Mus musculus: one gene and its partner. Each later gene encodes a partner of the first gene's protein in a complex. Links are inferred from orthologs where the notes say so. Each region holds a gene or a part of one and is shown in the gene's direction. Other genes may lie near its edges. The genes, in order: Bicd2 and Bicdl1.

Region 1 (3,806 bases):
GAACAAGCTTCACCAGCTCTGGCCCCAGCTCAGGCTCCAGGAGAGATGCCTTGGAGTGCAGTGGGCACCCGGGCCTGCTCTCCCTCTCAGCCTCTCAGCTGTGCTTTGTCTCCACAGGTGTGACGAATACATCACACAGCTGGATGAGATGCAGCGGCAGCTGGCAGCTGCCGAGGACGAGAAGAAGACCCTTAACTCTCTGTTGCGCATGGCCATCCAGCAGAAGCTGGCGCTCACCCAGCGGCTGGAGCTGCTGGAGCTGGACCATGAACAGACCCGCAGGGGCCGCAGCAAGGCCGCCTCCAAGGCCAAGCCAGCCTCACCGAGCGTAAGTCACACCTGCGCCTGCGCCAGCGAGAGGGCGGAGGGCGCCGGGCTGGCCAACCAGGTGTTCTGCAGCGAGAAGCACAGCATTTACTGTGATTAGGGCTGTGGGGCGCCGCACACCTAACGTCCGCTTCACCTCAACTAACCCAGCTGCAGCAGCGGGACAGCAGTGCTAGGCCGCTCCTAACGTGACTAACGCACAGAGGGCGGCACTCTAGGCAAGTGGCAGCGTTGGGGTACATCTGTAACCAGGACACTTTGAGCTTTGTGCTGCTTTTCATGCCACAGCCCCGCCCCCAGGATATACCATGTCAGTTGCTGTCCTTTGGGATGCTGGTATCAAAAGTAGGGGTGAAGCTGCACACCTTTGTGGAAGACAGCGGAGTGAAAGTTTTCCAGGGCCTCCAGGCACTGTTAGGGAACCCAAGGGTGAGTTCTTCCCTGGACACTCACAGGGGCAGAACCTGAGTTGAAACTTGCATGTTGCTCGCATGTGTCTAATATCAGCACTTGAAAGCAGTTTTGTGAGGCTCTAGCCTGCATCATAGGACTAGCCTAGGTTAGCTCGCTGTGGCTGGCATAGTTTCATGAAGAGTTTCCTTGTAGTTTGTGCAGCATCTCACTGCTAACCACATCCAGGATGGCAGTCCCAGAGGGAATGGACCATCTCTGGTTGCAGCCTGTGTTCTGCAGTGAGCCCCCACACCTCAGACACGATAACCATAGCCCAGGCAGACAGCGCAGCTGCTCCATCTCAAAGATCCGCATGCTGCTGTGTCCTGAAAGGTGACAAATTAGCAGGGCCTGAGGTCCTAGGTTTTCTTTCTTGACGAGAGTGTTCCAAGTGCCTGGTCAGACCTTGGTCCTTGGTTCAGAGCCTATTATTTGGTCCTTTGAGATCTGCAGCTTGTGCTTGGGTCTTTTCCTAGAAGTTGTCAGACCCAAAGAAGCAGTGTTTTGAGAACTACTAGTGCTCTACCAAACTGCACGGCACAGTAGAGCCCAGCTGTGTGCTAGGGGACTTTTTGTGGGCCCGGAGCTGTGCTCAAAACTGGCAGGTAAGAGTTGTGTGGTTCTCGGTGCAGTTTGTGGATACTACAGAAGGAAGAAAGGCCTCCGAGGGCTCTCCTTTTCCAGATGCTCTGTCAGTGCGGAGCTGTGGCATCAGATCAGGTGTGTGCTTTAGTGAGTTGTAAAACAGGACTCTGCTCAGTATTTCTCTCCCTGTCCCCATGGGGCATCTAGTCTTGAGACTCCATCTCCCATAATAGCTGCTTGGCTGTCTCTCCCTGTGGAAAGGCATCTTTCATGATGTGGAACAATTACTATCCAATATGGCCCTGTAGTCTCTCAAACAGCTTTCTCTTTCTCTCCCCTGGATCCTGGGGTACCCCAGTCTGCTCAGATTCTTGGCAGCACATGGTCGTACACTGGGGGCAGAACAGGCCACACGTGTCCCTTGCATGTCCATCCTGGGAATGGCTGCCCGCATGCCCACCCAACCTTCTGCCTTTCTTTCTCTTTGGGCCAGAACGCAGCTTCTCTTACACTGTATGGGGCTTTGTGGACACTTGGAGCCCCATCCCCTAACACACATGCAGGCCTCCTCTGCCAACTAATGTGCTCGCGCACTCCCAGAACAAGAGCTTTAGCTGTCAGTGAGCAGGGAGTGGCTCTCGACTGATTTCTAATGCTGTCTTGTTTTCTCCTGTTTTCAGCTGTAGAGTAGCTGCTGGGAGGAGGCGGCCACCCGGCCCTGTCACACAGCAGCCCCTCCCCCTCCCCTCCTGTGGCCCATGCAGAGGAAGGAAGGGCAGCCTAAAGTCCACTTAGAAATGTTTGGATATGCCACTGTAATTCTTTTCAAAATAGCATTCCCCAAGTTTTTAATGGGAGAAAAAAAAAAAAAAAGCTTTACTATTGAGAATGCTGCAATCTGCTGCTTGGGAAGGTCTCTGTGTGGCCGAAGAACCTGCTTCCACAGCCGCCGCGCTGCCAGGCTCTCTAGGGGCCTGCTGGACGCCTGCCACAGGCTCTCCTTATTACACATGCTCCTTTTTTATCCGATCAACCTGTGCACTTTTGATATTTTGATATTATATTTGCTTCCTTAATTCCTTGCATAGAGACGGTCTCCAGTGCCGTGGTCTGTGTTCATGGTCCTGTAGCTGTCCGTCCTGGCTCTGATGTGTTGACCTGCGTCAACTCAAGGTAGAGCTGTGCTCCATGGTGTGTAGCTAGACTTCGGGTGAGGCTCCGACCCGGCAAGGAGCTGGCCAGTGTATCCACGCTGTGGTTCAGCAGCCTTTAGAGGACACGGCATTGTGGTTCATGTTTGAAATTACAGATTTTAAATGCCATGTTCATTAAGAAATCCAGGGTATTCCAATTCTGGGGTTTTTCATATTGTATTATTATTATTATTCTTAGGAATAGTTCAATGTAACAAGAAGAAAACTTGACCTTTGCTCTGGTTAAAACAGTAATAGGCACTTGAAAGCATAAATTATTGAATGAGTAGTATTACCTACAAATTCCAGAGTTTTCTGGGTTTTAGGACATTGTGAAGCATGACTGACTAACAGAATTTTATACAACTGCACCAGTGAAATTCCAAATTGGAATTGTTTTGTTATTCTGGTTGTCGTGCCAAATTGTGGTACACTTAGAAAATTCTACAGCCGTCGATTTTCAGGTGTTCAATTTCAACACCTTTTTGTTAGTAACCATTGCCAGTAGTGCCTTCATCAGTTCAGGGAGGTGTCCCAGCCAGGTCAGGTCTCCAGGACGGGCAGCAGTGGAGAGCTAGTTGGGAATGCTGAAGGCCATTGTGGACCAGCAGGTACCTGCCTCACTCTGTACTTGGGCATCTTCATTGAGGGAGAGAGAACAGTGATTGTGCAAAATTCTGTTAGTCAGTGATTCTTCAATGCAAATTCAGGGGCTTAGAAACAAGACAGCACACAAACCTGGACTGTGCTTTGGGAACCAAATGGACTTCATGGGACAAGCTAAGCAAGCTGTACAGACATCACGTTTGTGAAGAGCTGAGGGCGTCAGGAGAGCCGGCGAAGTCGGCATGCGAGTGGGGAAGAGGGTTAGCCATAGTATTCTTTGCAAATGTGAAAGTCAGACATTATATCTTCTCTTGCTTGGTGTAACTAATCACTGTTAATTTCAGGAAACAGAAGTCAGTAAAACTCCTTAGTAAACTCCTTGCTAAGTGAGGTTCAGGGTGTGGTCAAATTGGTACTAGTGGAGGGAGGGAAATTGTCCTCCAGCCTAAAAAGGGACAAATTATAATAATATAAATTGTTAAGAATTGAAGAATTCTGTTTCCTGGAATGAGCATTTCTTATTCCTAGTTGTTGGGACTCTTTGCCTTCTGTTACAGTGTTGATTCATACAAAATATTGTTACATTTAAGATAACATCATCTGTATGGGGTATTTATTTGCAATGATGTCTAAGTACTGTAT
Region 2 (4,492 bases), on another chromosome or scaffold:
CAAAGAAAAAGCTGGACATGGCTCAGGTAGTTATTACTGGGGAATGTCTGTGCTTTGTATCCCCCATCTAGAAGCAGGATTTTTGTTTTCTCCCGTTATTTCTCCACAAACCCTTTTCTCTCATATCCCTGAGTCATCAGTATGAAGATGCTGGGTTCTCCAAGTCATTCCTCCGCCTCCTTTTCTCGAGGGCTCCCTCTCCCGACTGCTTAGCTCTTGCAGGGGTTCAGATAGAAATCCCGCACTGCAAATGGCTCTCCGCCTGGCTCCCTGACTCACATAATTGTCCGCAGCCCCCTCGGACCACAGACCAGCTAGGATACCCCACCACAAGACCCAATCCAAATGGGGCTCCCGCCAGCTCCCCAAACCGAAGAGAGGCTGCGGGCTGGGGCCGCGGAGGCGAGGAAGAGGACGCGTGCCGCTGCAGAGCGCCATCAGGGGTGAGAGCGTGGGAGTCTGGAGGAGGAGGAGGCCACACCCAGAGGTGCGAGCGCGGGGGGCGTGGCCCCGGCGAAAACGAGGCAGGGGGCGTGGCCGAGCGCCAAGCTGAGGAGGAGTCGGAGAAGTGGTGGACGTAGAGCCGCACCCTTAGGTGAGCGCGCAGGGGGCGTGGCCACACCTAGAGCTGGGAACGAGGCTGAGGGCGTGGCTCCAGGCCGGGGGCGTGGCCGTCCCCACCCCCCCCCCCCACACACACACACGGGAGGGAGAGGCTCCGGCCTTTCAGGACGCGCTGAGCTTCCCCACGGGCGGCGCGCGCATCCGTCCCCGCGTCGCGTGAGGCCACGTCCGGGTTAGGCGGGCGCCACCTGGGCGCGGCCGAGGCGAGCGGAGCGTCGGCGAATCCCGCGCGGGCGCGGCGGCGAACAGGTGCCCGCGCGCGTCAGGCGCCGGCCCCCGGGGCGGGGAAGAGGGGCGCGGCCGGAAGCGCGGGGCGGGCGGGCGGAGGAGCGAGCCCGGCGGGCGAGCCGGGCGGGTTCCTCGGCCGGGTGAGCTGCGGGGCCGGGCAGGCAAGAAGGAAGGACTGCTCCGGGGCTGTGCGGCCAACGATGTCGAGCCGCCGCCTCGGCCCCTGCAGCAGCAGCAGCCGCCGTCGCCGCCGCTGCTGCCGCCGAGCCGGGGGACATGGAGCGCGGCTGCAAGGAGCGGCCGACGGCAGCAGCAGCAACGAGCGACGCAGCGACAGCGGAGCGCAGCCCTCCCCGTGAGGCGCCGGCCGGCCGGCGGCGGCGGCGACGGCGGCAGCAGAAGCAGCAGCGGCAGCAACAGGGCGGCTGAACCCCGGCCGCGGCGGCGATCCTTAGCGCGGCTTCTCCTCCCGCTCCGCACCCCGCCACCCCTCTTCAATCTCCCCTTCTGCCGCTCTTGCCCACCCCCGTCGTCCGCGTCCCGGGCGCGCGCCAGCAGCTGAGCCCCCCGGGGGCGGGGGCGCGTGTCGCCGGCGCGGGGGAGGGGCCGCCCGCCTGCCCGCCCGCGCGCGCCGCGCCCAGGGCTCGCGGGGACCCGGGGGGCGCGTGCCGCGGCGCAAGGCGAGGCGAAGCGCGGGGCGGCGCGGCGGGGCCCCTCCCCCGCCATCCCCATCCCCACCCCCCGCCTTGCAGCCTGGCGCGCGCCGGCCGGGCCGCACCGCTGCGGGCTCGGCGCGCGCGGGCCATGTCCGCCTTCTGCCTGGGCTTGGCCGGCCGAGCTTCAGCACCCGCCGAGCCGGACAGCGCCTGCTGCATGGAGCTGCCCGCTGGGGCCGGGGACGCAGTCCGGAGTCCCGCCACTGCTGCCGCCCTCGTCTCCTTCCCCGGAGGTCCCGGGGAACTGGAACTGGCCTTAGAGGAGGAGCTGGCGTTGCTGGCGGCCGGGGAGCGGTCGTCCGAGCCCGGCGAGCATCCTCAGGCGGAGCCGGAGTCTCCGGTTGAGGGGCACGGGCCGCCGCTGCCGCCGCCGCCTACCCAGGATCCCGAGCTGCTGTCGGTGATCCGCCAGAAGGAGAAGGATCTGGTGTTGGCGGCCCGACTAGGCAAGGCGCTGCTCGAGAGGAACCAGGACATGAGCCGGCAGTACGAGCAGATGCACAAGGAGCTGACGGACAAGCTAGAGGTGAGGACCTTCCGGCGGCATGGGTGGGGAGCTGGGGTGCCTGCCTGTCCTCCCCGTTTCCGTGCCTAGTCTACCTCGAAGAAGATCATCGAGAACGGGGAGGCAGGAGGGATAGTTTTCACCAGCATCAGCGCGTTCGTTGAGCCCACCTGCCTTTCCCACCCAGCTCGGATGTGAGTCCGTGCACGTCTCTCACCGTTGTGGGCCGTTCTATATATGTATTGTACACAGAGTCTAAAATAGAGCTTACAGTATGACTAATTTATACAGCACCAAGGCGATATCTGCACACAGAAATGAGAACATCGAGAAGCATTTAAAATATGCTTCAGGTGTTCGGAGAAGCAGTTAATCTCTAATCAGGGTGTTAGCCCAGAGCTTTCCAGTCCGGGCATTAAGGCCTCTGGATGCCCTTGTCTTAACTTTCTGGCAGAGAGTTGTGGGGAACAAGTGCCTCGAAAGGAGCTTTATATAGCTTTCAAATGCTTAGGGATTAGGGGATGTGGTTCCATTGCAGAAATCAGAGAAGGCAGGGCTCATCATGTGATTAGTTTGGGCTTCAGTAGCTATGTGTGTCTCAGTAGTACTTTCCTGTGTCCTGGGTCTTAGCATGTATGTTACTTTTAACCACTACTAAAAACATTTCCCCTCACCCACCCCTGTGGGAGGGTCGTTTCCTGGCAAAATGGTTCAGTGGGTAAGGTCACTTGCCCCAATTGGTTCCTCAGAACCCATGTGGGATGTCACTAGCAACGTGTCCTCCGGCCTACACACACACCCCAGTTAATAAATAATCCTAAGTACGTTTTCAAATGAGTAATATTTCTGTTAATTCCATGCAACAACATCGTCTACAACTGTGTTTATTGGGATTTTGCTCTTAAGCAGAAAGAGTCTTGAATGGTAACTGAGGGTACCTAGAAAAAGATAGCCATTCCAAAGTGGTAGGTTTTCAAAATAAAAAGGAGAGCAGGCTCGAGCTGTGGAAACAGCCAGGCTTTTCTGGCCCTCTGCGTTCAGCACTGTTACCCATTTTTCTTGGACTAGTTCTCCTCGTTCTCATTACGAGAACATCATAGTACAGATGTGACCAGGCCCGAAACTAGCCCTCTGTCAGGTTCTCCTCCACTGCTTCTGTTTGGTCAGAATGTGAGTGGACAAACACTTCTGCCGTGGGATTGATGTGCGTCTAGAGTCTAGTCACCTATCGAAAGTTAAATCAGAAGAAAGGAAACCAGTGAGCGGCCTGTGTTTCAGCCGGGCCCGTTATCGAGGCCTGCCGGTCGATGGACTCCTGATACATGGCTTGAAAAGTTGTCTGTGAAACCTGGGCCCGGACAGCCAGAGTACAACAGAGCTACCTTAATGAATTGACTTGTTTAGTCTCCACTTGAAGTAGAGGTCTGGAAATACAAGGGTGTCCCTTTCTTTCCAAATCAATTCGGTTACATGACACTGTAAAGTAGTGACTACCCCGGAGATGTGCGCTGGAGATTGGAAATTCCTTCAGAGAGGGACTTGAGTGAAGAAACTGTGAGCTTGAAAAGAGCATCCTATCAGTCTGATGAATGACAGATTTCATGGTGCACAGTTACACAGATCCTGGTTTCCATGTGGCGTTCTCAGTAAGGGCAGGATTTCAAAATTCCACAGCAACAAAAAGGTTCTCCTGTAAAGGGATAAATAACGACCTCTGACATTTTGTAATTGACTCCATGGGTAAGCCTAAAATAGCTTAACCTGCTTAAACTATCACTGAAGATACTATCATTGAAGACCTACACTCTTGTGCCGGTCTGCTTGTGTTAAATGCCAGTGTTAAACTTTTAAAACTCGGGGGTGGGGGTCGGGCGGCGAGGGGGCGTTGTTGCCCAGTGTCATACCTAACACTGCTGATCTGGACATGGCAAAAGTGGTCAAGGTTGTAGATTATATGTCATGTGTACTCTATCAAAACTTAAAAACAAAAGCTTACATATATTTACCCTGCTTCATATATATACGTATATATACATAAATATAGATAGATGTATGTATATGTATGTACATATATGTGTGTGTGTATATGTGTGTATGTGTATATATATATATATACATATATATGTGTGTGTATGTGTATATATACATATATATGTGTGTGCGTGTATGTGTGTGTGTATGTATGTATGTATGTTTGAAAAGCATGATTTATTTTTGAGATAGGGTCTCACCGTGTCACTGTGTTGCCCATGTTGGCCTTGAACTCCGGTACTTAAGAGATTCTCCTGCCTCAGTCCCCAACCAGCCAGACCATAGGTGTGCAGTGTACCTGACTCTAAAATTTCTTTTGTGTACACTTGAAAATATATTCACTAGTTGCTTATTAGCTAATGAATGTACTTATTTGATGATGTTGAGG

The links.
Region 2: Bicd2 (region 1) and Bicdl1 share a complex: the UniProt entries of both Homo sapiens proteins name them as parts of the tripartite complex. The link is inferred for Mus musculus from reciprocal best matches to the Homo sapiens genes BICD2 and BICDL1.

The regions. Positions count from the first base shown.
Region 1 is NC_000079.6:49,382,926-49,386,731, forward strand, and holds part of Bicd2 (protein bicaudal D homolog 2), read left to right. Parts: intron 1-117; coding exon 118-427; 3' UTR 428-2,045; coding exon of another isoform or gene 2,046-2,051; 3' UTR 2,052-3,806. UniProt on the Homo sapiens protein: Acts as an adapter protein linking the dynein motor complex to various cargos and converts dynein from a non-processive to a highly processive motor in the presence of dynactin.
Region 2 is NC_000071.6:115,728,724-115,733,215, reverse strand, and holds the start of Bicdl1 (BICD family-like cargo adapter 1), read left to right. Parts: upstream 1-1,594; 5' UTR 1,595-1,656; coding exon 1,657-2,094; intron 2,095-4,492. UniProt on the Homo sapiens protein: Acts as an adapter protein linking the dynein motor complex to various cargos and converts dynein from a non-processive to a highly processive motor in the presence of dynactin.